2 linked regions of the Saccharomyces cerevisiae S288C genome follow. The main gene of each other region encodes a partner of the protein of the gene in region 2 in a complex. Each region holds a gene or a part of one and is shown on either strand. Other genes may lie near its edges. A codon is read from its position in the direction of its gene.

Region 1 (2,999 bases), on a different chromosome or scaffold from region 2:
CCATCCAAGCAAGGTAAGGGTGACTTAAAGAGAATTGAAGAAGTTTTTGATTGTTGGTTTGAATCTGGTTCTATGCCTTATGCTTCTCAACATTATCCATTTGAAAACACAGAAAAATTTGACGAAAGAGTTCCAGCTAATTTCATCTCTGAAGGTTTGGATCAAACAAGAGGTTGGTTCTACACGTTAGCTGTCTTAGGTACCCATCTATTTGGCTCTGTTCCATACAAGAACGTCATCGTCTCTGGTATTGTCTTAGCTGCCGATGGTAGAAAGATGTCTAAATCCTTGAAAAATTACCCTGATCCATCCATTGTTCTGAACAAATATGGTGCGGATGCATTAAGATTGTACTTGATAAACTCACCTGTTTTAAAAGCTGAAAGTTTGAAATTCAAAGAAGAGGGTGTTAAGGAGGTTGTTTCAAAGGTCTTACTACCATGGTGGAACTCCTTTAAATTTTTGGACGGTCAAATTGCCTTGTTGAAAAAGATGTCTAACATCGACTTCCAATATGATGATTCTGTGAAAAGTGATAATGTCATGGACAGATGGATTTTAGCTTCTATGCAATCTCTAGTACAATTCATTCACGAAGAAATGGGTCAGTACAAATTATACACTGTCGTTCCAAAACTTTTGAATTTCATTGATGAATTGACAAACTGGTATATTAGATTTAATCGTCGTCGTTTGAAGGGTGAAAACGGTGTTGAGGACTGTTTGAAAGCATTAAATTCTTTATTCGATGCCTTATTCACATTTGTCCGTGCCATGGCTCCATTCACCCCATTTTTGTCAGAAAGCATTTATTTGAGACTGAAGGAATACATCCCAGAAGCTGTCTTAGCAAAATACGGTAAGGACGGAAGATCAGTCCATTTCTTATCTTACCCAGTGGTCAAGAAAGAATACTTTGACGAGGCCATCGAAACTGCAGTTTCTAGAATGCAATCCGTTATCGATTTGGGTAGAAACATTCGTGAAAAGAAAACTATTTCCTTAAAAACTCCATTGAAGACTTTGGTCATCCTTCACAGTGATGAATCATACTTGAAGGATGTAGAAGCCTTGAAAAACTACATTATCGAGGAATTAAATGTTCGTGATGTTGTTATCACCTCCGATGAGGCAAAATATGGTGTTGAGTATAAAGCAGTTGCTGATTGGCCTGTATTGGGTAAGAAGTTGAAAAAAGACGCAAAGAAGGTTAAAGATGCCCTACCATCAGTCACTTCTGAGCAAGTACGGGAATATTTGGAAAGCGGAAAGTTGGAGGTTGCCGGTATTGAACTGGTTAAAGGAGATTTGAATGCTATTAGAGGCTTGCCAGAATCTGCTGTCCAAGCTGGACAAGAAACCAGAACCGACCAAGACGTGTTAATCATCATGGATACAAATATTTACTCTGAACTAAAGAGTGAAGGTCTCGCAAGAGAGCTGGTCAACAGAATCCAAAAATTGAGAAAGAAGTGTGGTTTGGAAGCCACCGACGATGTTTTAGTGGAGTACGAATTAGTTAAAGATACTATCGACTTTGAAGCCATTGTCAAAGAACATTTTGATATGTTAAGCAAGACCTGTAGATCCGACATTGCCAAATATGACGGCTCAAAGACAGACCCAATTGGTGATGAAGAACAATCTATTAATGACACCATTTTCAAATTAAAAGTGTTCAAATTATGAAAACAACTCATATAAATACGTACAAATTTTTCTCTACTCGAAGTGATATAGATGTATATGTGTAAGTTTACGTTTAAGTTAGAGTCATGTAATGCTAACTGTCTCCACCGATAATGTTGTATAATACCCGTGAAATCATAGCACATGATATATCATCACCCGGAGGCCGGTTATTTTCGGCGGCGGCAAAAATATTTGGTATAATTATGGAAATACAAAAAGGGGAACCATTAAAGGTTGAGGAGGGGATTGATAAGAGAATCTAATAATTGTAAAGTTGAGAAAATCATAATAAAATAATTACTAGAGACATGAAGTCTACATTTAAGTCTGAATATCCATTTGAAAAAAGGAAGGCGGAGTCGGAGAGGATTGCTGACAGGTTCAAGAATAGGATACCTGTGATTTGCGAAAAAGCTGAAAAGTCAGATATTCCAGAGATTGATAAGCGTAAATATCTAGTTCCTGCTGACCTTACCGTAGGGCAATTTGTTTATGTTATAAGAAAGAGAATTATGCTACCCCCTGAGAAGGCCATCTTCATTTTTGTCAATGATACTTTGCCACCTACTGCGGCGTTGATGTCTGCCATATATCAAGAACACAAGGATAAGGACGGGTTTTTGTATGTCACTTACTCAGGAGAAAATACATTTGGCAGGTAGTCTTTTATATGAAAAGAAATGAAGCGTTAACATCTAAAATCGAAATTATAGGGACTCATTAGCCATCTATTGTTCCAGTATAAGAATGTTTACATAAAAAATTCGAAAAAAAAAGATAAAATAAGGGAAAAATATATATATATTCATTAAGAAGTTTTGTACACAACGGAGCCAAGATTTCACCAGTATTTGGAGACAAATGTGAGCACGTTATGGTATTTACTTACAGATTACGATCTGTTCAATGCATCAGAAATAGGAAGAAATTCAAAATAAAATAAAAAAAATATTAGGAAGGAGTGAAAAAGCAAATAAGATGATACAGTAAGGTGGAGTTAATGTCTTTCTTCTCCAAAATGTATTCTTGCTAACCAAAAATCTGATTCTCTCTGACCTGTTCGTTTGTCTTATGTATGTAGAATCAATTTCTTACAGAATTTTAAATACTGTATAGTGGAAAAGAATAATAAATAAATACTCGACTATATTTACCTTTATCTTAAGGAAAAGTTCACTCGATATTCTTAACTTTACCGTCTAGTAAGGCCTCTTTATTACATTAAAATATACACGTACATTACCCTGCTATCTATATGTCGAACATGAATTTTTATTCTTTGTAGAAACAAATCCCCAAATTATTGC
Region 2 (3,760 bases):
CGCTATGGTTGATTTTTAATTGTTTTTTTGTGTTGAGACGCGAAAGTAAGGAATATATAAAGAAACTTAAATTTGCTAACAGAAGAAATATTTTATAAGCTGTTTGTTTATGTATTTATGAAACCAAACAAAAAATTGCCTGTATAATGAAAGAATTTTCATATTTGATAAGCTTCTATGTAATTAAGGAAAGGAACCAAACGGGGAATATAGATACGCAGTGAGAGAAACAGAAGTGATAGTAAAAAAGTGAGTAGGAACGTGTATGTTTGTGTATATTGGAAAAAGGTTACAATAGAATATAACCCAGTGCCAAAATCCGATTAGATTCATCAATGGAAAATTCAGAGCTTTTATTAAGGTTCTCCAAAAATTTTAAAGGTTTAGAAAGAGCATGCAAGACAAAAGTATTCATTTTGCCCCAAGTCTCCTTGATTATGGTAAGACTTTTCATAATGAATCCATCGGAGTGGAAGTTTATCTGAAGCGTACCCTTATCAAACCATAAAAACTGCTCAGTTGAAGAAGGAGATGCAGTGGCGGGCGTATTGATTGTGTCGCTAGAGGAATCTAAGGAAAGTAAAGAGGCCAATATGGAGGGCCGCAAACTTAAAGACTTAACTGTTTGGTGTTCGTATGCTGCAGTGACAAAGTATGTCACACAACATCCAAAACTAATTCCTATAGTAATTGAAATGCCCCAAGTGAACCAGCTCGTGAAGAACTTCTGCTTCTTTCTCTTGGGTTTTTTATTCGATTTAGGGGATTTCTTTTTTGAGTTTTCGGCTTTTTTGTTACGACAATAGGACCGAGACTTTGTATGTATAGCTTCGTCATCATTATCTTCCTCATTCACATCTTCTCCGTATTCCAAGGATAAATCTTGTAATCTTTGAAACATTTTTTTCAAATCTCTTTTGTTGGTCACAACAACTGGAGGAAACAATAATTTAACAAGTTTATTCCTTAAGAATGACTTCAGGACGTTTTTCACTTGGATGACTTGCCCAGGCTGGCAGATCGGTATTACAGGCTTGCCTTGAGAATATTGAACGATCCTGTTTAGCAGAGATACCATCTCTCTCAGCTCCTGAAAAATTATGACAATCCCCGTATATTGCGGGAATGTTGCGGAATCGTGATATTTGGGTAATTCAAAAAGAGATTGGTATTCTTTTGGTATTGATTGATAAAAGCTGGAACCAGTCCTTCCCAGTATTAGAAGGCGAAAAACTGGATTCTTTTGTGTTAGTGATAGTTTGGGCATAACAAAAGAGTTTGTCGAAGAAGTCAAGCTTTTTGTTATCGTCACACTATCTTCCTCAAAAGCCTCATCTTCATCACCATCATCATCTTGCTCGTTAAAAGGAGTTTTTTCCTTACCAGGCAAGGGCAGCGATATTATCTTCTGTAACTGTTTAAAGGGATGAGACGGTGAAACGACATTTGCTCCTTCTTGTCCTTGTTTAATAATATTTATTATATCAGCAGCAGGCGCTTGAAGCAGCTCTTGTTCTTCTTCAGAAGTATCACTAGATGATAGAATACTTCCATTAGTCGTTTGAGAAGAGCACCTTTCTGGGATGAAAGAAGCGCCCAAGTCCAAAGGCTGAATGGCTTGCCACGATCCTGATATACTATCGTTTACATTGTGGTTGCCGGATATGTCAATGGACGTAACCAAGTTCTGTCCCATTGGCGAAGGCGAATGCCCTGTCTTACTCAACAATTCCAATACTGATAGATGAGGGTCAAGTAAGCCTTTGTCTTCCCCAGTTTGTGCTTCAGAGCATGTGTGAATAGTCGTTGACGAGGAATCAGGTGGCATGCTTTTAGATGAGGATCCTTTACCTTCCCTTTGTTGGTATTCCAAAACCATATGTTTACTGTTCCTGGCAGATTTTTTTTGCTTTTGTGATTAGGACTTCAATATTGCTTATCGATAAGAGAAGTCACAACTGATAAGAAAAATTGTCAAAAACGAGAAATGGGCTTTGTAAGAAAATATTTCAACAATAACCCAAAAATATAGATTTTAAAAGTATAATGATTATGCCTCAGGAAGCTTACTGCACCTTATTTCCTAAATAACTTTTTTATTACTTAATAGATCTGTTTCTTTTTTTTTTTTTTGTAAAAGGGGTGCGTCAAACAATAGATATATGCTCTAGACAGACGGTGATCTAAGATATTTGAGAAAGCACGAAACAAGTGCCAAACAACTTCAACTTTGCTGAAGTAGTATAAACTTTGCTTTTACTATGCAAACTGTGAAAGACGATTTGTCCTTTCCATATTTGTGTTTTGAGCGATGGGGATGTCGTCCCTTCAGCCGTCTAAAAAAAAAGTCATCAAGCGTGAAATCTATCATCCCGTTGTTGGTTTAAAAGAATATCGTGCATACTGTATAAGAGTGGTATATACTGCAACACAGACACGGGAAGGCCCAATCACCTAGTTTAAATAACGATGTTATCTATTAGTCTGACGACCGTATCGGGTTTTTCGCGGTCAGTCACGTATACAGCACAACTAATGACTATTGGCTGCTGTTCGCTGGTGTTTTCAACATCGGAGAGTTCATCAAGAGTCTTAAAATCTGCTAAGGAAACATAGTCGATTTTGAAATCGTGGGAATCAACGTAGGGTGCCCATATTTGAGTCACAGTATCGATGATTTCTGATCTGGAGAGACGTCCCCCTGGTGCTAGTCTCCTAATAGCATTTTCCGCAGCTTTCAGCCCGCGGTAAAGGTTTTCAGAGATCTTTAAAGACTCTGGACAAAGATATTTGTTTCTACTACTCAGAGCCAGTCCATTATTGTTTCTTACAATAGGCATCATTTGTAGCCTTGTATTAACAAACAGTTCGTCCACCATACACTGTAAAACAATGAACTGTTGAATGTCCTTCTGCCCAAAATAAGCCACATCCGCCATAACGATATTGAATAGTTTAGTCACGACAGTTGCCACGCCCCTAAAGAAGTTAGGTCTCGTCTTCCCCTCTAATTTTTCACTCAATCCAAGAACACTAACAAAAGGGCCTTTCTGCTCTTCTATGTCGAGCGGAATTCCCTGTGGATACATCACGTGTGCATTAGGAGCAAATAGAACATCCACCTTCAACGACTCAAGCAATTTGATGTCGTCTGGCAAAGTTCGAGGATAGTTATCTAGATCTTCCGTTGGCGCAAACTGGGAGGGATTTACAAATATACTGACCACAGTATAGGTGTTTTCCTTCACAGACTGCGAGATCAAACTAGCGTGACCCGAATGCAGGCAACCCATTGTGGGAACGAACCCAATAGTTTCTCTAAATCTAGTTTCCCTCAGCTCCTGTGTTCTCCATTGAACAACTTCTTCGACAGTATGGAAGATTTTCATCAATTCTATATGGATATGCAGTATAAAAACTTGTATAAAACAGTGCAGTATCAACACACACCACTTCTTGTACACATAAATATGTACGCTACATCGAGAAATGTTCATTAATCTCTTGTTGGAAAATATGACAAAAGAAAAAAACTCGTTAAAGTAACATTTACCCGGATATCTGTTCAGCCAACATTATAAAAAAGATGGGCGCTTAATTTCCACTCTTACAGATATCACTCCTTCTAATTAACTTACATCAGTAAGAAAGTAAAAAGAGCAACAATTCGCCACAAGAAGGTCTCTGTAGGGTCAATAGTAGCAGGGCTCTTGTCAGGGAAAGACTGTGAATGCAAAGGAAAGACGGTTGGAGGTCCGAA

What was found.
Region 1: the proteins of ATG32 (region 2) and ATG8 are in contact, whole or in part, in a crystal structure (PDB 3VXW), measured with the Saccharomyces cerevisiae proteins. Residues at the interface, in NP_012120.1 of Saccharomyces cerevisiae: Ser85 (codon at 1,627), Trp86 (codon at 1,624), Gln87 (codon at 1,621), Ala88 (codon at 1,618), Ile89 (codon at 1,615), Gln90 (codon at 1,612); in NP_009475.1 of Saccharomyces cerevisiae: Glu17 (codon at 2,049), Ile21 (codon at 2,061), Arg28 (codon at 2,082), Pro30 (codon at 2,088), Val31 (codon at 2,091), Lys46 (codon at 2,136), Lys48 (codon at 2,142), Tyr49 (codon at 2,145), Leu50 (codon at 2,148), Val51 (codon at 2,151), Pro52 (codon at 2,154), Leu55 (codon at 2,163), Phe60 (codon at 2,178), Val63 (codon at 2,187), Arg67 (codon at 2,199), Phe104 (codon at 2,310).

The regions. Positions count from the first base shown.
Region 1 is NC_001134.8:79,733-82,731, reverse strand, and holds ATG8 (ubiquitin-like protein ATG8), read left to right. Parts: upstream 1-2,000; coding exon 2,001-2,354; downstream 2,355-2,999. Other genes in the region: isoleucine--tRNA ligase ILS1, read left to right, coding at 1-1,689; NUP170 (Nup170p), read right to left, coding at 2,965-2,999.
Region 2 is NC_001141.2:73,895-77,654, forward strand, and holds ATG32 (mitophagy protein ATG32), read right to left. Parts: upstream 1,880-3,760; coding exon 290-1,879; downstream 1-289. Other genes in the region: pantoate--beta-alanine ligase PAN6, read right to left, coding at 2,460-3,389. UniProt on the Saccharomyces cerevisiae protein: Mitophagy-specific receptor that recruits the autophagic machinery to mitochondria and regulates selective degradation of mitochondria.